Mus musculus: one gene and its partner. The protein of the gene in region 1 binds, or shares a complex with, the protein of each later gene. Links are inferred from orthologs where the notes say so. Each region holds a gene or a part of one and is shown on either strand. Other genes may lie near its edges.

Evidence for each region. The genes of interacting proteins can lie anywhere in the genome.
Region 2: the proteins of Ralgapa2 (region 1) and Nkiras1 are in contact, whole or in part, in a crystal structure (PDB 9QU1), measured with the Homo sapiens proteins. The link is inferred for Mus musculus from reciprocal best matches to the Homo sapiens genes RALGAPA2 and NKIRAS1. Residues at the interface, in NP_065076.2 of Homo sapiens: Pro20, Lys21, Tyr51, Ser52, Gln53, Phe56, Tyr59, Glu60, Ile63, Arg99, Phe102, Arg103, Trp104, His105, Tyr106, Gln107, Ser108, Lys185, Ile186, Tyr187, Pro188, Glu189; in NP_001364280.1 of Homo sapiens: Lys6, Glu22, Leu24, Leu25, Tyr26, Glu34, Met39, Glu40, Asp41, Val42, Tyr43, Met44, Ala45, Ser46, Val47, Glu48, Lys54, Gln56, His58, Tyr60, His74, Tyr75, Ser77, Phe78, Lys108, Thr162.

What each region holds. Positions count from the first base shown.
Region 1 is NC_000068.7:146,342,644-146,350,080, reverse strand, and holds part of Ralgapa2 (ral GTPase-activating protein subunit alpha-2), read left to right. Parts: intron 1-1,522; coding exon 1,523-1,633; intron 1,634-2,896; coding exon 2,897-2,965; intron 2,966-3,234; coding exon 3,235-3,372; intron 3,373-4,511; coding exon 4,512-4,695; intron 4,696-7,331; coding exon 7,332-7,437.
Region 2 is NC_000080.6:18,267,784-18,275,320, reverse strand, and holds the start of Nkiras1 (NF-kappa-B inhibitor-interacting Ras-like protein 1), read right to left. Parts: upstream 4,186-7,537; 5' UTR 3,998-4,185; exon of another isoform or gene 3,914-3,997; intron 1-3,913. Other genes in the region: Rpl15 (60S ribosomal protein L15), read left to right, coding at 4,871-5,042, 5,278-5,414, 6,005-6,310. UniProt on the Homo sapiens protein: Atypical Ras-like protein that acts as a potent regulator of NF-kappa-B activity by preventing the degradation of NF-kappa-B inhibitor beta (NFKBIB) by most signals, explaining why NFKBIB is more resistant to degradation.

The DNA of each region.
Region 1 (7,437 bases):
ACTGGGAATGTCATGAGCTTTTAAAACCTCACATACCTTCTCCAACAAGGCCACATCTACTTCTTCTCAAACAGTTCCAACAACTGGTGACCAAGTACTTACAGATACAATCTTTTTTTTTTTAAGGTATTTTCCTCATTTACATTTCCAATGCTATCCCAAAAGTCCTCCATACCCCCCCCCACTCCCCTACCCACCCACTCCCACTTTTTGGCCCTAGCATTGTCCAATGGGCCTCTCTTTCCAGAGATGGCCGACTAGGCCATCTTTTGATACATATGCAGCTAGAGTCAAGAGCTCTGGGGTTAGTTCATAATGTTGTTCCACCTATAGGGTTGCAGATCCCTTTAGCTCCTTGGGTAATTTCTCTAGCTCCTCCATTAGGGGCCCTGTGATCCATCCACTAGCCGACTGTGAGCATCCACTTATGTGTTTGCTAGGCCCCGGCGTAGTCTCACTAGAGACAGCTATATCAGGGTCCTATCAGCACAATCTTGCTAGTGTATGCAATGGTGTCAACTACAATCTTATGGATGCCATTCTCAATCAAACTAACACATTCCATTCCACTCCTTGGCCCCCATAGGCTGTGGCCATATCATAATGCAAACTGCATTCATTTAAACTTTAAAAGTCCCTATAATCTTTCACAGTATCAATACAGTTTAAAAATCCAAAGTTCAAATTCTCTTCTGAGACTCAAGGAAATCTCTTACTTAACCTTAACCCCTTGTAAATTATAAAAGCAAATGTAATACTTCTAACCGACAACTACATAGAATATACATTTACTATTTCAAAAGGGAGGAATCAGGGCATAGTGAGGAAATAATGGAACCAAAACCCACCAGAAAAAAACCTGCAGATCCTTTATCTCTGTGTGTGATGTCAAAGATAGCTCTGGAAGCAGTTTTACTGACTGAAGCATATATTATTCTTCTTTTCAAGCCACCACAGGCAGCTTTAGGAAACACAGTCAGGGTCATTGAACATGCCCTCCCCCTAAAGTCTGGTTTTATACACTTCTTAGTATGTTACATATCAGTCATTTTATTTCCCCGGGTAGGAAGTCATTTGGTTAATCCCCATTTTACTGTTTGTGAAATGAAGATAGCACCTTCTTCCAGAACTGTCAATGACAATTTATCAATGAATGAGTTATATTTGTGCAGAAGATTCGGCACACAAAGGACACTCAAGCATATACTCTTTTAATTTCCTCAGTTTATCAATAGTGTGATTTATATGAGCTGAATACAGAATTTGAAATTTGGGCTTTAATTTCTAGGCAAACATTGACCACCTTCTTCTATGGAATATATAAAAATGTTAGTGAGTTCAAACAGGCAACAAAATGGAATGGAGTTGTCATGTTCAAAGGATGTTAATTGGACATAGTTTTCTTCAGTTGCATATGAGATATGTATATAGGGCTAGCAAGAGCAATCTGCTCTGTTCTTCCTCCAGAATATACTCCTGCTGAGCTGCTCTGTTAACTTGGGGTTTCGGGTTTCTTTTGTAGTTTCCTAACAAGATCGTGGCTCAGGTAGCCTGTGATGTTCTTCAGTTGTTGGTTTCCTACTGGGAAAAGCTGCAGATGTTTGAAACTGCTCTACCCCGCAAAATGGCAGAAGTAAGTCCTTTATCTATACTGCTAAAGCATCTGCACTTCTTCTTACTAATGTATTTGATATCTAATTAACTGTAGATCCTTGGGTAATTGTTAGAGAAGCAACTATTAAACTGCCATGTGAGCCCAGTTTTCAGGCTGTGTTGGCTGGCTCCTCTCCTCTTCAATTCTAGGCACTGTGCAAAGAAGCCTGCAGTGTTCCAGCCAGAGGCTGGTGCTTGGAGAATTTGAAAGGCAGACACAACCACAACAAAGAGACCTTTTGTAGGTTGGGCTTTATTCATTGAGAGTAATTTGGATGGTGCCAACAAGTAGTAGGCAGCTGGTTTAATGCTTCCTTGCAGGGCGGGGGCCTGGCTGTTGTGTAAAGCAGGAGTTGTTCCCAGACTAAAGCCCTGGGCCACGCTTGCTGCTGTGGCATGGTTACTTGGCAGTAATGAGATCAGTGCAGTATTAATCTCTAAGGGGTAGTGGGCAGGAGAGGGGGCAGGAAGAACAGGAAGTCTCATCTCTACCACAGCTTCTTAAGTCAGCTCCCTCGGAGTAGGGACTAACTCACAGATGCCTGTGACTCGGCACCCCCGCACCTGCCTGTTTTATAAGCACTTCCTTAGGCAAGCTCTATTCTTTGCCCATCCCTTGGAGACTCTGAGGAAATGTGATTTGTCCCCATGAAGGATCTCAGGGAGAGAGAAGAAGTGATACAGATTCATTCCCTCCTACCCGTAGACAGACTTCACTAGTTGGCATCACTGGTTGTCCTCTCAGAATCACATCAAGAGTCACAAGTGGTTTTTGACCTGAAGTGATCTGGAGTGGAATAGACCTTTTACTCTGCTGCGGAGTGTAAAGTTAGGGTTAGGGGCACCTGTAATTATTCAGACAGGACACCTGTGAGAGTGGAGCTCTGTGCTGATTTATAAGATAGCAAATGGGAACCTTTTCATAATTATTTTTAAAACCATTTTTATTTCACTAGAAATGTGGGACTAATAGTTTCACTAGAAACTGTGACTATAGAGAGAACTACCCTTGCCTTGAGGTCTCAGTCCCCCATTAAGGAAGACCATTACATGGCCATAATTTTCAAATCTCTTACAACTGGCTGAGTAAGCAGCAAGCTGTGTTACATTGCAAGGCCATCTAGGGATTCTTAACTTATGGCTTCCAAACTATAACTATAGCTATGTACATTATATAAACTATATAATAACTACATATGAAAACTATAATAAATTGCTTGACTAGGTCTTATCTTTTGTGCAGATTCTTGTGGCCACAATTGCGTTCCTTTTACCAAGTGCAGAGTACTCGTCAGTGGAAACAGATAAAAAGGTAAGTGGCAGGTTAGGTAGCTTTCCCCAGAGTTATTTTTACATATAAGACAGAATGGGAATGACTATTGCTAATGATGGTGTCATTTATAACACCCTTCTATGTTGGCTTTAACATTCTTTCCTATGGAAACCCTTTTGCTCACTAACTTACCCTGTACTTGTGTGTCCATTAAAGACTGAGTATACACAGGGACAATTCTGTTTATTTTCACATGCAGTGGGTCCTAAAGGCCATAATGTAAGTTCTGGATATGTTTCGTCTTCTAGTTTATTGTGTCCTTGCTCCTTTGTCTCTTGGACTGGTGCATGGCGCTGCCCGTGAGTGCCCTCCTCCACCCTGTGTCCACAGCAGTTCTAGAGGAGCTGCACCCATCCCGGGCCCCCTTGCTGGATTATATCTACAGGGTGAGTCTCCCCTAAGCCTTGGGCACAGACTGTAGATCTACAGATTAAAATAACATAATGTTGTACATTTCCTACATTTATATATTTGTGCCTTCTGAAAATGACCTGTGGAAAGTTATGCATTTGGGAAGACATGAATAATTAATGAGTAAGCAGAACTGATACAGCTGTAGAGAATCAGTGGTTGCCAAGGTGAAGATGCACACACTGCACATGACTGTCAGATTTAAGCAACTGCCATGAATCAGAATGCCCCAATCTTCATCACAAGTGACCTGTATCTACTTCGTTTCTAAATGGACTGTTTATGTTATAGCCTATATTATAATATAGGGCCTGCAGCATAAGATTCACAAAGATCTGTTTATCAGACTATGAAGAAACCCATAATGCTTTTAGTAAATAAACCTCAAGAGGCAGGTGTAGTGGTGAATGTTTGTAATCTCAGTGCTTGGGAACATGGAGGCCTGCCTCAAAACCAGAACCAAAACAAAAGTAAAAGAACACAAAGGAAAAAAAAATCCTTAGGATATGAGTTAAGAAGTCTCACTTTAGCCAGGCGTGGTGGCACATGCCTTTAATCTCGGGAGGCAGAGGCAGGTGCATTTCTGAGTTTGAGGCCAGCCTGGTCTACAAAGTGAGTTCCAAGACAGCCAGGGCTGCACAGAGAAACCCTGTCTCAAAAAGACAAAAAAAAAAGTCTCACTTTGTGAGAAGAGACTTTAAAAACTGCATTCAATTTACTTTTATTTATTCCATATAATTCATGGGTTCATGTGTTGTACTGATTTAAACGCAGGTTGTGGTCACCCGGCCCTCTACCATGATGGCTTTCCCATAGCCTTCCTCTCGTTTCCTGGGCTGGCTCCTTCCACCTTGCTGCCTTTGGAGGAAGAAAGCCTGAGGCGTGTGCAGTCACACAGGAACAGAAACAGGCACCTTTCACCTGTGTTTTCCTTTGCCCTGAGCATGTAGATGTTGTCACTGACTTGCTAGTAGCAAAAAGATATTTAAGAATGGAAAGAAGGCCACATTTGGACATGTTCCTAGGAAGGAGCCCTCTCTCCTAAGCAGTGTGGGAGCTAGGCAGAGTTCAGGAAATGCTGGCACACGGAGCCATGCATGTCTGTCCTCCTCAGGTTCTGCACTGCTGTGTCTGTGGCTCCAGCACATACACACAGCAAAGTCACTATACTCTGACCTTGGCTGACCTGTCATCCACGGATTATGACCCCTTCCTACCTCTGGCAAACGTGAGGAACTCCGAGCCAATCCAGTATCATTCATCAGCAGACCTGGGGAACCTGCTGACCGTGGAAGAGGGTGGGTATAACTACAGATATACAATGTTATGTGCAGGAAAAGGTAAGAGTGCAGGCTTGTCTGTGCTTGTGTTTTAGGTTTGTTTTGGATCCAGTGTTGACATTGAAATCCCAGTTTATAGGATCTCTGATAGCAAACTCCCTTCCTTGTTTCTTCCTCTTTTTTCCTGTTATTTTTACTCCTCTCTTTTTTTTCCCATCTTAAATAATGCACATGGTTTTGTGTTGCATACCCATGAAATGCAAAAGGCACATTTTCTATCCCCAAGCAGCTTTCCAGGTAGTGGAGGAGGTAGGACATTGCTGGGCTGGTAGCATCTTCAGGACTTCCCATAGGGAAGGACTTAAACTGGACTCACCAGGGTGGACAGATTTGAAGGAGCTCATAGAGTATCCAGGCGAGGAGCCCCTCATGCAGAAACTTGATAGCAACCCAACCCTGAGACAGACCTCTCTCGTGTACCTTTTGTGGATAGAGATTTAGCAGGCCGTGATCAGGTGAGAGTGCAGGATGTACAGTGTGCCACAAAGTAGGTTCACCCCTATTTTAATGACTTACTTATTAGACCATTACCTGTTCTTGACATAATTACTACTTTTAAATAAAGTTACAAGCAAGATACACAGTCAAGCCATCTGTGATCACATGTGTTCAGATTGCTCATTGTTAATGACTACTTAAAACAGAAGGAAGGGGAGGAGCTTCAGAAGAGGCGAAGCAAAGGATAGCCAGACATTCTAGCTTTGTATTTCCTTCCTCCAGGAATCCAGAAAGAAGAGGGTACTTGGATTGTCTTCTTGTGTAGTAGTTTGTGAGACCCTCAGCTAGTTTTGCCATTGGTAGAATGTAGATCAACTCTGGCTTACAGGGAGTGAGCGCATGGGAAGCCAACTTCACTGAAATGTGCAGGAGGACGTCAATGTTTCCCACATGGCTCAGTACCAGGCCCATTTGGGATTGTATTAGAAGTGTCGTCATGGCATGGTTTACAGTGTGGTTCATAGGGCTCCTGGTCATTTCCCCACTGTAGAATTAAAACATTCACAAAACACAAACCAAAAGCACAGTGTCTGTAAGCAAAAGCAGAGGGGAGTTACTTTCCCCACTTGGTATTTTCCCTTTGTCAGTTTGTACCTTTATCATTAGTTTTGTGCCTACCCTACTGTCATGACGAAAGCGTGTTTCCCTCTATGAACTGTGAACTCCTGGCTGCTTTCCTGTGGGTTTCTAGATAGTAAAATTTCCCAGCTGGAGACCTTTCTTAGTTGTATAGAAATCTTACATATTTCTCTTAGGTTGTGGGGGAAAGTTTAAGTTTAGAATAGATGTAACTGGCCTCTTGTTTCTTTAAAAAACAAAAAGTTTTGTGTGACATTTTCTTTTCCATTATTGGATATAGATTTCATATACATTGAAAAAAATGATAAGAACTCAAAAATTCAAGGTGATCTTGCTCTCCTCACTTCTTACTCAGAATTTCTAAAGTTTCAGAGATTTGTTTCTTTCGAGGATTTTTATACAGCATGAAACAACATGTTATAAGTAAGCCATTGGATAATGTCTAAACCTAGAAGTATTTAGCATGAAGTCATATATTTACAGCGATTTATGTGCTAATTAATATTTGATTTTTTTTCACAGTGTGAGTTTAAAAGCTATTACTTCCTAAAGCTCTAAGATCAAATTATAAACCTTAATTTAAATATGTAGTCCTTTATCCATAAAATTTTTAAAGTTTCATTTTCACTTTTTTAAATTGACTTTTATAACTTTTGCCAGTTGAAGTTTCCTCAACTACTCTCAGCCTGAAGTACTATTTCAATTTCTAGTTATGTTTTAGTGTATCTACCTGTCCGTTATACCTCATTTTATAAAGCCCTAGGACTCATTCTGTTGTCAAAGTCTTTGTATATATTTAAGCTAAAATTTTATAAATCAGTTGCTCTTGATTACTAAATCATGAAATACAAATTCAGTTAAGTTCTTCTAAGTGCCTCCATGGTTTATTAATATGATGAATTTTCTTAAATATTTTTAGTGTTCCAATAACAAAACATAAACTATCACAATGATTACTAAGTATATTGTTTCCAATCTTTTAAAATAGCACCAAGGTTTATTAATATCCTTATCAGGTTTACCTGCAACCAACAGAGTAGGATCCCTAGCCCACTTTCAGATCTCATCCGGGTTTTTACTCTTATCTGAGCCCCTGAACTATTATCTGTCTAACCTGGAAATGCTTCTCTTTGACTTATTCTCATGTCTATAGACTTTTAAAGTCCCTTTCAGAGTGACGTCTTGGTGTAAGTTGGTTCTTTAGCAGTCTGTTTCAACTATGTTTTTATATTCAAATAGAATTAGAGTCAGAAAAGAGAAAAAATCAGTCTCACAGTTAAAACCATTCAGCTGGGTGTGATGGCACACACCTTTAATCCCAGCAGAGGCAGACATAGGTGGATCTATGCTTTACAGGCCAACCTAATCTGCATAGTGAGTTCCAGACCAGCCAGTGCTACTTAGTGGCACCTTGTCACACAAAACAAAACAAAAATAACAATCAGACATTCAAACTAATGACTGAAATTGCGTGGTGCCCCCATTATCTCTTCATGGTTTCTTCCTGCTGTTCACAGAAAAGAAGAGAAGAAGTGTGGAATTGATCCCCCTCACTGCACGAATGGTCATGGCCCACCTAGTGAACCACCTAGGCCACTATCCACTGAGTGGGGGTCCTGCTGT
Region 2 (7,537 bases), on another chromosome or scaffold:
CAGTGTACTTACATATAATAAATAAATTTAAAAAAAAAAAAAAAAAAAAAGAATCTAGAAGTTGCTCAGCCTCACGAAGGTGGGTATTTCAGCTGGTCTTCTGTATAAGCTGGAATCATGAAGTAGACTCCAACAGGTGTGCTGGCAGGTAAGTGCAAGCAGGTGGAAAAGAGTGAGTCCTCCTTCTTCAATGTCCTTGTGTAGGCCTCCAGCAGAAAGCACGGCCCAGAATAAAGGTGTGTACCACCAAACCTGGACCTAAACTGTTCTTTATTTGGAACTTGCTCTGTCTCAGGCTGGACTTGAACTCAGAGATCTGCTTGCTTCAGTTTCCTGGGATTAAAGGTGTGTACCACCTTCCTGGGCCTAAGCTTTTCATAGCCACTAGGCCTCAAGATTCAGATCAAAAGCCTATGTCATTCCATGTCAAGATTTGGATCAAAAGCCTGTGTCTTCCAGCCTCAAGATCTGGACCACAGCTATGTCCTCCATTCCTGGATTGAAGTTCATTCCAGATGTAATCAAGCTGACAGCTGGGAATAACCATCACAGCATGTGTGGCTGGATTAACCTTGAGACACGGAGCCAAAGGCTGGGGTTGTGATCTGGGCACAAGTGTCTATGAGTCAAGTTTTAGAGGAGAGGGACTGACTGACTAAAACATGAAGGAAGCCAGGAGCCAAGGGATGCAGGGGGACCTTGAGCTGATTTTCTTCTTCCTGACACCATGATTTTTATCCTAGTGATGCTTCTGATCTACAAACTGTAAAATGATAAGTGTTTTATTTGAGCCATTAACATCCTCACCTGAGTTAACTTGGAGGGTCTCTGAAGGTATGAGGCTAGCCTAGTCTACACATAAAGTTTCTAGGGCAGTTAAAACTACATAGCAAAAATAGAGAAAGAAAATTTTATCTCTGAAAAATAAATTTTAAAATGTAATTGCTAGGGCTGGAGAGATGGCTCAGCAGTTAGAGTACTAGCTACTCTTCCAGAGGACCCGCAATATCTGTAACTTCCGTTCCAGAGGATCTGGCACCCTCATTCAGACATACATGCAGGAAAAAACATCAATGCACAAATAAACATAAATTTAAAATATGTAATTGCTGTTAGGGAAACTAACATAACCTCACTAGTCTCTCTAATCCATTTTTCTCTTTTCTTTTAGCCTCAAACCATCTAAGTTAGAATTTTAAAATCTAACTTACTTACTTTCTTTTTTCCTTTGGTTTTTTCGAGACAGGGTTTCTCTGTGTAGCCCTGGCTGTCCTGGAACTCACTCTGTAGACAAGGCTGGCCTCCAACTCAGAAATCCACCTGCCTCTGCCTCCCAAGTGCTGGGATTAAAGGCGTGTGCCACCACACCCAGCAAAATCTAACTTTCATTCTCAGAATCATTCAGTAGTTTCCTAGCTCCTTAGCTGTGATTCCAGAATACTGCTTGCTGTTTTTGTCTGTTGGACCCCCAAGACCAAGTTCTAACACAAAGGAGATTTACTTACCCCAGAGGAACAGAGGGTAGGGAATAGAGACAAAGTCAGGAGGTAAAGGATGGGAGGGGAAAGGAAGGGAGAGGAAGGATGGGTCTCTGTCCTGAAGAGGCAAAGGACTGCCTCTGGATAGAGAGGAATTGGACATCATAGGTAAATGGTGGTTTATAAAGGGATAAGGGATAATCTGGTATTAGGATGAGGTGTTTAATTTTAATTGGGCATGTTAATGAGGTGAGCCAAAGTGGCCTTTTGACTTCAATACTTTGATACCTGGACCTTGATAGTCTTGATAGCCTCAGAAGAAGGAAGTGGCCAAATACGGTACTAGATCTTGGTGGCTAGCTTTAGAAATGTAATCTAATGGTTTTTAGAAAGGCAGAGGGAATGGGAGAGAAAGGCAAGGTCTTCTTCCATTGCCACGCTCAATACACTCAAGCTGGCCAGAGTCCCTTCAGTCCTGGTATTCTGTATTGTCTTTTAACCCTTCCTCTCAGCGATCTGTACCCCAACTTAAAACCTTGAGGTTTGGTTTCTGATTCCTAACTACTAAGCACATTGTGGAGGTTTGAATAAGTATGGCCCCACTGACTCATGTGTTTCAATCTTTTACCCAAAGAGTAAAGGTACTATTAGGAGGTAAGGCCTTACACTAGCAAGATTTTACTGAAAGGACCCAGATGTAGCTGTCTCTTGTGAGACTATGCCGGGGCCTAGCAAACACAGAAGTGGATGCTCACAGTCAGCTAATGGATGGATCACAGGGCTCCCAATGGAGGAGCTAGAGAAAGTACCCAAGGAGCTAAAGGGATCTTCAACCCTATAGGTGGAACAACATTATGAACTAACCAGTACCCCTGAGCTCTTGACTCTAGCTGCATATGTATCAAAAGATGGCCTAGTCGGCCATCACTGGAAAGAGAGGCCCATTGGACACGCAGACTTTGTGTGCCCCGGTACAGGGGAACGCCAGGGCCAAAGGGGGGGAGTGGGTGGGTAGGGGAGTGGGGGTGGGTGGGTAAGGGGGACTTTTGGTATAGCATTGGAAATGTAAATGAGCTAAATACCTAATAAAAAATGGAAAAAAAAAAAAAAAAAAAAAAAAGGAGGTAAGGCCTTGTTAGAGGAAGAGTGTCACTGTGGGGTGGGGGTGGGCTTTGAGATCTACCATGCTCAAACTATGCCCAGTGAGGCACACCTCTCTTTGCTGCCTGTAGATCAAGATGTAGAGCTCTCAGCTCCTTCTCCAGCACCATGTTTGCCTGCATGCTGCCATGTTTCCTGCTATGATAATAATGGACTAAACCTCTGAAACTGTAAGCCAGCCCCAAAGTAAATGTTTTCCTTTATAAAAGTTGTCCTGGTCATGGTGTCTCTGCACATCAATGAAACACATTACTACTGAACTACACTCACAGACTTGTAATTTATTCTTCAGCATTATTAAAAAAAAAAAAATCATCCAGGAGGCTCAGCAATTAGAACACTGGCGGCTCTTGCAGAGCCCCCAGGGTTCAGTTCCTAGCACCTACATGGAAGTTTTCAACCACTTCCACCTACCTCAGTGGGCCCCAGGTACAAAGGTGGTCGTGCACAAACATACATCCAAGTAAACACACATAAATAAACACACATAGCCTAAAAATAAACGTTAAAAAATTTTTGAAGACTGTCCTAAAAGAATTCATATCCTTCACTCCATGCTAACTTGCAAGCTCCACCAGATGTGCTTAAAAGAGAAAAAAGTCAGTTACTGCCCCTCCCCCCCCCCCCCCGCACCCCAACCCCACCTCGTCCAGGCTCCACTTGCCAGGACGCTGAGACACTGTACCGCTCAATACCCCTCCACTCCTTCAATGTGTGTCCTTTACACTTGGCATCAAAAGCAATACATAGCATAGTGTTAACGCTTGCTCCCAAGGCTAGAACTTGTATGTTGTCTGAGCTGCATCACCAGCAGCTGAGACTGAGCTCCACGCATATTAAGCAATACATCTGTTGAATTTTTAAATAGGACAGGTGAGGACTCTTAAAATGCTAAAGCTGCCATTTATTCTAAAAGATAAGAAGAGCCACAGATTGATGGAAAAGGTAAACATGATTCCCAAAACCTTTGCCACAAACAAGCGTAGTTTATTAAAACCACACAACTGTATGAAAATAGAAAATTCTGGAACTACAAAAACTCCAATACACCATTACTTCTCAATAAAGAACGCAGTGCAGAATGCCAGCATTTCTTCCTGAAACGGGTCATGGCAAATGAACAATTTGCTATCCTAAAAACGCCTATAAAATCAAGTCCCCGGGCACCTCGGAAAATTCAGAGGGGGACGGGCACCACAGTCCACCCACTAGCCTGGTTCGCGCAAGTCCAAAGTCCCTGGCCGGCCTTAAGGACACGCAAGGTCCACGCGTACCACTTCGCCTACGACCAAGTCACGGCCGTCCTGCGGTCACTGTGCTCCGAGATCACGGAGCGAGGCGCCGGTGGAAACACCAACCTGACACTGCAGGGCAGTGAGACAGCAGCACGCAGGTCACCGCGGTCCGAAGGCGTCCCTCTGGAGCCGGTCCCCGACCTGCTTCCTCCGGCCCCTTGACGTGACGTAAGCAAACTCGCCGCCTCTCACTTTCCGCAGCCTTGGCAGCTCAGGAGCACTGCTGAGAGCTTGGGAGAGCATCCGGAAGCGGCGGGCTGTCCCAGCCTGACTCCGCCCACCAGGTTGGATGTCGGGACTACAAGCCCCAAGAGGCACAGTGCGGCTACAATGCCCCACCGGAAGGAGGGTCGCCGGGGTGGGAGGAGGAGCCACAAAAGGGATTGTGGGAGAAAGCCTTCTTCCTTTCCTCTGGCGGCAGCCATCAGGTAGGGCGGCGGGGTGGTGTTTGTGTGTCTATCCGTCGCGAATCGCGCTAGTCTTCAGCCATCCGACCCCGGCGACCCTACGGCCTCGGAGTTTCTGCCTCGCACGAGCGCCTAGTGAGGATACGGGGTGGAGAGGGTACGAATACGCCGCCGTCCGGGAGGCTTGAGAGACGCAATGGCGGCAGGATCCGAGCTGGGCCGGGGACTGAAGGAGGCGTGGGATGGAAGCGTGGCCTCGGCTTGCCTCTCATCAGGCCGCCCGGGTGGGACGAAGCTCTCCTGGTCTTACTCGCGGTGGCGGTTATAACCCTGCTGCCAGTTCTGGCGGCCTCCGGGAGTATGGAATAGTCAGTCCCGCCCAGCCGGCCCTGCGCCTTGCTGCCTCTGCAGAGCCCTTCTCATTCCCGGTGGACGGTGGGGCTCCAGGAAGGATGGAGAGGCCGTAGTCAATGTCCTTGACAGCGATCGCTCTTTCGATTTGCTTCTTCCTCTCAAAAGGTGAGCCAAGATGGGTGCATACAAGTACATCCAGGAGCTATGGAGGAAGAAGCAGTCCGACGTGATGCGCTTTCTTCTGAGGGTCCGCTGTTGGCAATACCGCCAGCTCTCTGCGCTGCACAGGGCTCCCCGCCCCACCCGGCCTGATAAAGCTCGAAGACTGGGATACAAGGCTAAGCAAGGTGCGTGAGGTCACGATGTGGGTGGTCTATAACACTCCCAGAAAAGTCGGCGGGCCTCAGTTTGGAAGTGCCCCCCCCCCCAAAAAACCTGCCTGATTTAGCTATGCTAAATGTGATATAGGTTACAGATATACTTTAGTCTACATAGTCTATCTTTGTAATTAAAAGGAAGCATTGGAAAGTCTTAACTTAGTCTAACGTATTGGTGGTTGGGTTGTTTTGTTTGTTTGTGTAGGCTATGTCATTTACAGGATTCGTGTCCGCCGTGGTGGTCGTAAACGCCCAGTTCCTAAGGGTGCAACTTACGGCAAGCCTGTCCACCATGGTGTTAACCAGCTGAAATTTGCCCGAAGCCTTCAGTCTGTTGCTGAGGTGAGTTGTTGGGAGTATCGATTGTCTTGACAACCCATTAGGAATGGTGGGCTAGGAAGAAACGGGGAAGCCGGTGGAGTTTCCCTCGGTATAAGGTGGGGATGGAGTTGTTTTGTACTTAGTCACTATCGGTACTCATTGTTACTGTTTTGCTTGAGGATGTGCGGAAAGGGGTTTGGGTTTCTGGACTAGTTTCTACAGACCCTATGCTTTTGGAAGACTGTAAAATTTTGGGCCATTCTGTTTTATTTACATTGCTAATATTCTGTGATCAGTTACTCTTAGGTTGATAAATGGTTGTAGGAGCCCCCTTTCCACAAGCTAGAACTTTTTTTTTCATTTGTTGAATTAATGTATAGGGTTATGGGCTTGATCCCTATTGCTGAAGGGGACTAGGACAGCACTCAATTTCATGTCTGGTTTTTAGGGAGAAAAAAAGTTATGTGCTTTTGTCTACATGTCTGTCATTTAAGCTAGTCTAATTCTTAAGGTGTGTGGGGACCTGGCCTGCTTCAGTCTCATGACCCAGAGTTAGAAGGATTTTTGTCTAGTTTACAGGAAACTGACTGGTCTTTCTCTGCATATTTTAGGAGAGAGCTGGGCGCCATTGTGGGGCTTTGAGAGTCCTGAATTCCTACTGGGTTGGTGAAGATTCCACATATAAATTTTTTGAGGTTATCCTCATTGATCCGTTCCATAAAGCTATCAGAAGAAATCCTGACACCCAGTGGATCACCAAACCAGTCCACAAACACAGAGAAATGCGTGGGCTGACATCTGCTGGCCGAAAGAGCCGTGGCCTTGGAAAGGGCCACAAGTTCCACCACACTATTGGTGGTTCCCGCCGTGCAGCCTGGAGAAGGCGCAATACTCTCCAGCTCCACCGTTACCGCTAATACACGTGATATTTGTAAAATTCATATCCAATAAACAATTTAGGACAGTCATTTCTGCTTAAAGGTGTTATTTGTTAAAACTAGTCTACAGATTGTCATGAGTGTTCTGTGAAAATGTAGAAGTTAAGTGCAATAATTGAAAACTGCAGGTGATGGCATATCTTGTTTCTGATGTACTTTGCATTATCTGCTTATGAGATTAAGTGTATATAGTGTTTGTGCCAAGTGGTGTTCTGTGTGTAAGACCCTGTAAGAGGTAAAAAGTCCTGAAACTGACCCTGGATGTGTTGGTGCATGAGATAGAATCTACAGCTTTACGATGGCATCTTTTGGTTCACTGAAGTGGCTGCTTGGGAGTTTGATGAGTACAAACTTTATAGAGTTGGATTTTGCTTAGAAATGTGTAGGAAGAGAGGGTTTCAAAACCTGTTTTGTGCATAGAAAAGTGAGATCAACTATAACCCACATTTTGAGAATTGAATCCAGTGTTATTTTCAGAAGACCAGGTAAATTTGTTGGAAGAGGTTTCACTTTCTGTTGGATCTAGAGTATGGATTTGGAGATGAAGGTTGAACATTGGATGTAGTAGGGCTTATTTAGGGCAGATTATTTCCATTAGATTTGTAAACTTGGTTGTGGTTGCAAGTTAATATCAACCAAGCAAATATAAGTTTGATTAAGCTTGCAGACATTAAGCTTTTCTAGCAGCTGGTGTGTGCAGAGGCAGATGGCTCTCTGGTTCCAGGACTACCTACAATATAGAGAAATTTTCTCTATTCCAGTCAATTCATCATGGGTAAGAATAGTCCATTTTGGTAGTGTTATTTCATCGTTTACAATCTACCTATGGGTAGTGGCTGGTAACTGCCTGGATGTTGACATTTCACAAAGGCCATACTTAACCACACTTTTATTTCTATTTGTGCGATGCCTTGGAGTAGTTTCCCAAAGTGATTTTGAGTGTGGAAGAAATGGTATTGTCCCCGAACAGCTGGCTTGGTCTCAAAATCTAATTGATGCTTTTATTAAATTGGTTTTCCTTTGGAGATTTTAAAAGGATGATTTGATTTCCAGAAAATACTAGACTCAAAATCTTGATAGCTAAAATTCTTTTCTATTCAGCAAAACAAGTCACTGTATAGAGGTTGTTCAAATCAACTAAAGTAATAAATGTCTTAAACAAGTGGACCTATGTTATCTTTTATGTTAAAGCAAATGAGGAACTTG